2 linked regions of the Arabidopsis thaliana genome follow. The protein of the gene in region 1 purifies or fractionates together with the protein of each later gene. This does not show direct contact. Each region holds a gene or a part of one and is shown in the gene's direction. Other genes may lie near its edges. The genes, in order: PNM1 and AT1G64880.

The links.
Region 2: the proteins of PNM1 (region 1) and AT1G64880 fractionate together in Arabidopsis thaliana (co-fractionation; one large-scale study listed by BioGRID). This does not show direct contact.

Annotation. Positions count from the first base shown.
Region 1 is NC_003076.8:24,528,334-24,532,265, reverse strand, and holds the start of PNM1 (Pentatricopeptide repeat (PPR) superfamily protein), read left to right. Parts: upstream 1-2,233; 5' UTR 2,234-2,277; coding exon 2,278-3,843; 3' UTR 3,844-3,932. Other genes in the region: AT5G60964 (ECA1 gametogenesis related family protein), read right to left, coding at 1,342-1,680. UniProt on the Arabidopsis thaliana protein: RNA-binding protein that functions in both mitochondrion and nucleus. In mitochondrion, it is associated with polysomes and may play a role in translation. Required during embryogenesis.
Region 2 is NC_003070.9:24,103,412-24,107,343, forward strand, and holds the start of AT1G64880 (Ribosomal protein S5 family protein), read left to right. Parts: upstream 1-2,199; 5' UTR 2,200-2,301; coding exon 2,302-2,848; intron 2,849-2,933; coding exon 2,934-3,454; intron 3,455-3,925; coding exon 3,926-3,932. Other genes in the region: AT1G64870 (uncharacterized protein), read left to right, coding at 1-420.

The DNA of each region.
Region 1 (3,932 bases):
ACATTTATATCGACATGGAGATCTATCTGAACCTCATTTCTCAATATAGACTGTATAATATATATACAGTTTTGCTAGATTTTTCACGGTACGAAATAATTTTGTTTTCTAGTTATAGTTAGTTAATTGGAGTTGTTGTAATTTCCATATAGTCTACATGTTTAGTTTGATGTCGATATAAATATTAATGCCTTTTATGTCATTTCTTGAGTGTTGGATACAAATAACGATCATTCTCCTAACTCCAAACAAGTAATTAGGAGATTAGGTTCGAAATATATGTATTAGGAGATTAGTTTAGCACACATCCCTGACGATATATGTATTTGGAAGCTTGTTAGGAACCGACATTCTCATAGCCTATGCTGAGCATCTGACTAACCCAAAATGATGACGACGTGAGATATATTCGTAAGCAAATTATGTGGAGGACCGGGACATAAGCGCACAAAGGGAACACGCTATTGGGCTGTAAAAATAAAGGAGAAAGAGCTCACAAATTTTCTAAAGAAGACAAAATCAATATGAGCCCCCGGCGAGGATCGAACTCGCGGCCTTTCGCTTACGAAGCGAACGCAATACCACTATGCTACGGAGGCATCCGAAATTATAAAGGTATTTTTAATATATAATTCGGTTCGTTTTCCATATTTTCCAACTACTGCGTGACGATAAACTAAAAGCTTAAGTGATGGGTTCAGGGTTCTTCATGTACTGATGTATAAGACTCATAATATTCATGTGCTGATGTTCACATGAAGATAAATATTATGAAAAGAACCTTTGTGACTTCATCACGATATATAAGACTCACATGCAACCAAAGAAAATGATCAAGTTAGAAGAAGACTCACAAATTTCAAAATAATTTTTTACTTTTGCTACGGAGGTCTCTGGAGGCCAGGGAGACACGGTTTCATGAGTCATGATTGTTATCTTTTCAAAAATATAGATATTATTAATATGTTATTATTTTCTCCTATAGTGTTACCGGCTATAAAATAAAAAACTTGAGAGTTCAGACGTATTAGAATGTGTGATTTCCATCATCCAGACATAATCTGTTCACCATGTTTGCTGATTTGAATTTCAATATTCGTAATTATAAATACATAAATTTTTTAAGAAGATTAACCTTGTAACTATTTGTTTATATGTCTATGTCCATGTAAAGTATCATATTGTCAACTAAATAAAGATGAAACACAGAAAAGTGAATGTTGTAATGCTATTATTGTATAATTGTAGTTTTTGAGTACAACATTTAGCAAATCAACTTTATTTTTGTTAAAAGACTTATATATATATATATATATATATATATATATATATATTAAAATTCTATTTTCTAACAACTTTTAAACAATGATTTCTTATGAAAGAAGGAAAATGTGGCATGTATGGAATTTTTGGCAAGCAGTAATCTCTGGTATGTAAATATGCCTTGCAACAATAAGGACTAATCACCCATCGCCTATTAGATACGGATTGAGTAGTTTCTATAACGCATATTGGAAATTTCATCACAGATGAATAACATTTGAATATACGAGAAAATACTGGAAAACTATTAAGTAACGGATATGGATCAGTAAAAATAGACGAAAATGGTGGCCTTGCATTTACGGAGACTATAATGCATATGACCATTAAAAGTGAAATCACATTTTTAATAGACATACTGAGATATTGAGAAAAAATAAAGAAAAAAAACTTTGTTAGTATAACAAAATATATGTTTAGTAGTTGATTGATGAACAACAATAAAATCCTTGCCTATTTAAATGGAAGGGAACAAAACTATGGTATTAATTATCTTGATTAACGTCTTTGAACTCTTTTAATAGCACTTATTAATTAGCAGTTTATAAAATTGAATAGTGTTAAAACTTCTAGAAACGAACAACATTTAAGTAACAAATATAGGAATATGTTAATTCTATGAGGACTCTATGTATTAATTAAATTAAAAAAAAAATGAATAATAAAATTATAACATGATTATTATTAGAGTAGGTGGAGGTGCGGGGAATCGAACCCCGTGCCTCTCGCATGCGAAGCGAGCGCTCTACCATATGAGCTACACCCCCATTTTGAGTAAAAATGAAACAGATACATAATAAATTCAAATTAAACAATCAAAAGGGGCTTAAGCAAATCAAGGCCCGAAACGAAGCCCAATTACTCAAGATGTTCCTAAATCCTGAACTAGGGTTTTATTCTATTTCCCTTTCTCACTAACTCTCTAGTTACCAATTTTCTCTCACTAAATCAGAAATGCCGCCGTCGTTACCGTCTCTGCAACTCCGACGGCTTCTCCTCCGTAGCTTCATTTCCTCCTCCTCCGTCAATACTCTTCAATCTCAGCCCCGTATCATTTCTTCCAAGCCGTTGTTTTCTCCTCTTCCCCCTTCCCGTTCCTCTATATTCTCAACATTTCCTTCTAGATTCTTCTCATCTGAAACGAATGCGGAATCGGAATCTTTGGATTCGAATGAGATCGCTCTCTCTTTCTCGAAGGAGCTCACCGGGAATCCAGACGCCGAGTCTCAAACCATTTCGCAGAGATTCAATCTCAGCTTCTCCCACATCACGCCTAATCCCGATTTGATTCTCCAAACTCTTAATCTCTCACCGGAAGCTGGTCGCGCGGCTCTAGGTTTTAACGAGTGGTTAGATTCGAACTCTAACTTCTCTCACACCGATGAAACAGTTTCGTTTTTCGTCGATTACTTTGGCCGTCGGAAAGATTTCAAAGGAATGCTAGAGATCATCTCGAAATACAAAGGTATCGCCGGAGGTAAAACACTAGAATCGGCGATTGATAGGCTTGTTAGAGCTGGTAGACCTAAGCAGGTCACTGATTTCTTCGAGAAAATGGAGAATGATTATGGTTTGAAACGTGATAAAGAATCACTTACCTTGGTTGTGAAGAAGCTTTGTGAGAAAGGACACGCGAGTATCGCAGAGAAGATGGTGAAGAACACTGCTAATGAAATATTTCCTGATGAGAATATATGTGATTTGTTGATTAGTGGATGGTGTATTGCTGAGAAACTCGATGAAGCAACTAGGTTAGCTGGTGAAATGTCTAGAGGAGGATTTGAGATAGGAACCAAAGCGTATAACATGATGCTTGATTGTGTTTGTAAGCTTTGTAGGAAGAAAGATCCTTTTAAGCTTCAACCTGAAGTAGAGAAGGTTTTGCTGGAGATGGAGTTTCGTGGTGTACCTAGAAACACAGAGACTTTCAATGTGTTGATTAACAATCTTTGTAAAATCAGGAGAACTGAAGAAGCAATGACATTGTTTGGTAGGATGGGTGAATGGGGTTGTCAACCAGATGCTGAGACTTATCTTGTTCTGATTAGGAGTTTGTATCAAGCAGCGAGGATCGGTGAAGGGGACGAAATGATCGATAAGATGAAATCAGCGGGATATGGTGAGCTTTTGAATAAGAAAGAGTATTACGGGTTTCTCAAGATATTGTGTGGGATTGAGAGGCTTGAGCATGCGATGAGTGTGTTTAAGAGCATGAAAGCTAATGGATGCAAACCTGGGATCAAGACTTATGATTTGTTGATGGGGAAAATGTGTGCGAATAACCAGCTGACTAGAGCTAATGGTTTGTATAAAGAAGCGGCTAAGAAAGGAATCGCTGTTAGCCCTAAGGAATACAGAGTAGATCCACGGTTTATGAAAAAGAAGACCAAGGAAGTGGATAGCAATGTTAAGAAGAGGGAGACTTTGCCTGAGAAAACCGCGAGGAAGAAGAAACGGCTCAAGCAGATCAATATGAGTTTTGTTAAGAAACCGCACAATAAGATGAGACGGAGAATGTGATGCTGATGAATCTTCAACATCTGATAGAATTTTCTAAAGATTATTGTCTTTGTTCTTTCCTTTTTAAGATATTGTCAAGAGTACTCATC
Region 2 (3,932 bases), on another chromosome or scaffold:
AACGTATTGCCTAATATCGTTGCTAGGGATAATCTTCCAAACGCAAATTCATTTCTTTTTCCTCATGGTCTTTGGGGCTGGAACGCTAACCATGTCGCGACTGATAAAGAACGGACGGTATTTCTAACGTTTTCTCGTGGTTTTCCCGTGTCACATGCTGAGGTGATTCATCTCTTCACCGAGATATATGGAGAAGATTGTGTCGAAAGCGTTTACATGCCAGAGGACGGTGGAAATTCCTCCAATGACAACACAAATTGCAATGGTCATCAGCAACAACCACTATTCGCGAAGATGGTCTTGGACTCGGTTGTTACCGTAGATCGTATACTCAGCGGCCAGGAAAAACAAAAGTATAAGATCAATGGAAAGCATATTTGGGCTCGTAAGTTCAAGAATAATAAAGACGGTCTTATCTAATTAAATAAAGTCATAAGGATTTTTAGTTTCTAGTTTTTCAATTTGCTGGTGTCAAATCCCTTATCTTATATTGTAGTCTAATAATTAGAAACCATATGTAACGTTTCGACGATGGTATCTTCACTTAATTTGACGGGAATGTGTTTCACTTAAGTTTGAGGTTTGAGGTGACTTTAGATATCCAATATATTTCACATTTCTTTTAAGCAAGAGTGGTACTCAATATTTTTATGCACTACCATATCTCTAATGTTTTCTCAACATAAAATATAATTCACACGTTTAAAATAAATAGCTTTTGATCAACCAAGCTTCTAACGATACTACGCTGATTTGGGGGAAATCACCATCATCGTCACCGTCACTGTCACCGTCGGTTCCTCCTTTGAATGAATTTTAGTAGGATCCCTTTGATGTCATTGACAACCGCCATCATCATCGTCTCTATTACCACCGTTGATGCTGCCACGAGCACCACTGACGTTAAAACCACCAGGACTACCACCACAACAACCACTATCACCACTAACAAAGAGACCAAGTTTTTTCATAAACTACCTTCCATGTTTAATTACTATAGTTTGAATATAGAGTGCTAGTTTCTTAATTTATTAATAAAAAAATGGTAGTCTTGCACAAATTTTTCTTCTTTATAAAGAAAGATATCACAAAATTTTATCAATTAAATTTATTGAATAAAACAAAAGATTTTCTCTCTTCTATTGTTTACCTTTCTTTTTAGTAAGTAATTAAGTCTAAATGTGCAAGAAATCCACAGATAATAAATTCAAAGAGATAAACTTTGATGTTGTTAGAAATGGAGGATAATCATACAATAGACGGATCGGTTTCTCGAGTAATTGTTTTTTTATTAAACGGATTATACCAAATTTAGACCGATTTTCACCAATAATCAAATCAAACAGAACCGAACCAAATTACCTTCATTAATTGGAAAAAAATCGAATTTAGCCAAAAATAACCAAGTTAACCGGATTTTTTTAAAATGAATACAGAGATTATCGACAGTGGAAAAAGGAAAAGAACTCGAAAAGAAGACCATAAACGCAGAACCATAAGCATACACAGACGAATGTTAAGCGATTAGTTTTAACACATTTCATAGGTCTTTTAAATGTATATTATCGAGTCTTTGATATCGAGAACATATAGTTTTCGATATCTTTTAGTGTTTTTGGATTTGTGGACCTGCTGGGGTTAAAAGAGGTGTGTTGGAAGAGAAATGAAGCCAAATGAGTCAAGTGAAGTAATTGGAGATGCAGAGCAGTGCAAAAGCGTCATCACTAATTAGTTTGGCCGCCTCTGATAGAAGACTTCCTACCGATAGATCTTTCTCAACTTTGTACACAAGATAGAGTAGGATATAATCTCTTTATTGATCAAAGTATGATAACAAAGTATAACAATCAAGGCACATCAAATCAATTTATAAACCCTAGTCACGTTTCAAGAATCCAAATAGGAAATACACAATAAATATTGTCTTGTAGAGATTGCAAATAGTTGTTAAGACGAAGAACAAACTATTTTTATTTATTACGTGGGTCATATTCAAAATTGAATAAATGTAAATTTACTGTAAATGATGCACTTTTGGATAAATCCTGACAAAAACTAGATTTATATCGTTCATAAACCTTTCACATATCAGCCATTGCAACCATATGAAGTTTTGAAAATAAGCTTGTAGGTGATTTTTGGGAGGATTTACTCACATGACTAAATTGGGCCCATGAGTGAAAGTGAAGCCCATTTGTAAAATAAATGTCACACTACACACAAAAACCCTAAAAATCATTTCAGTCTTCTCAAGGTTTTTGAAATTTCTATCTTCCATTTCCATCTGATGAATCTCTGACGATGTCTTTGAGAACTCGAGCATCGTCATGGCCTCGTCTTCTACTTCGCCGGAACCCTAGATCTTCATTTTCTCGTCAGATATCTACTCTCGATTCCTCAACATCAACATTTCCCAGAAGAATCTCCGGTTACTACTCCTCCTCCTTCTTTCCCGTAAATCAAACGCCATGGATCTCATCTCAGAGGTACCGTTTCTTCTCCTCAAGCACAATGTCACCATCGGAAGCTGATAGAGTAGTGAGAGAACTTATAGCAGAGGTTGAGAAAGAGAAGCAGCGTGAGAGAGAGGAGAGACAAAGACAAGGACTTGATTACAAAGACATTGATGCCGAAGACGAAGAAGATTACTTAGGGATTGAGCCGTTTATCGAGAAGCTTAAGAAGCAGAATTTGAAAGATGATGGTGAATTAAATAGGCGTGAAGAGTCTTCTGATTCGGATAGTGAATATGATGAGATTGATTTGGATGAAGAGAGGAAGAAAGAAGATATCTTTAATAAGAAGTTTCAGAGACATAAGGAGCTTCTTCAGACTCTTACCAAGTCAGGTATATGAACATTTGTTTATGGCTTAGAAATGGTTTATGGTTTGTTTTCTGATTAGTTCTAAGTTGTTGTGTTATTGTTTGGCAGAGACACTTGATGAGGCATTTAGATGGATGAACAAATTAGACAAATTTGAGGAGAAGCATTTCAAGCTTAGACCTGAGTATAGGGTTATTGGTGAGCTGATGAATCGTTTGAAGGTAGCTGAAGGGAAAGAGAAGTTTGTTCTGCAGCAGAAATTGAATAGAGCTATGAGGTTGGTTGAGTGGAAAGAGGCTTTTGATCCAAACAACCCTGCTAATTATGGAGTTATTGAACGTGATAATGTTCAAGGTGGTGGTGAAGAAAGAGAAGAGCGTCTTGTTGCTGATGGGCCTAAGGATGACAATGATGATGATGATGATGAAGAGGAGTTTGATGACATGAAAGAAAGGGATGATATTTTGTTGGAGAAGCTGAATGCGATTGACAAGAAACTTGAGATTAAGCTTTCTGAGCTTGATCATACCTTTGGGAAGAAGGGGAAACGGTTGGAAGAGGAGATTAGAGAGCTGGCTGAAGACAGAAATGCTTTGACAGAGAAGAAAAGACAACCTTTATACAGAAAAGTAAGTGCATTCTCTATATGTCAGGCTTGGTAAGCAATAGAGTTTGATCTTGATTTAGAACTTTTCGTGGTAACCATTGTAGCTGTAGTGCTGTAACTGCTTTATTGAGAGAAGCACATAGCCAAAAAGTTCAGGCTTGGTGTTGCTTCAAAATGCGTTATGTGCTAGTACAATGCGGCATATCTCTATTAAGAGATGTTTGCATTTTCCACGATATTACCTTAATTCTCTTATAAGTTCAACCATACATTCTATTAGATTATAACAAATGGATCAATTTCCTTTCATGCAATATGAATACTTAAGAAGGCCAGTAGTCTAATAGTTACATGAGTTTATGATACCCTTTGTTTGGTATGTTCTGAAGTTATCTTTTCTTTGACCATGGTGGATATTGCCATACATCTTTTCTCTCAATTTATTACTGAAATTATTAGCATAGCTGATCAGGTTATTTCTTATTTTTTGCAGGGATATG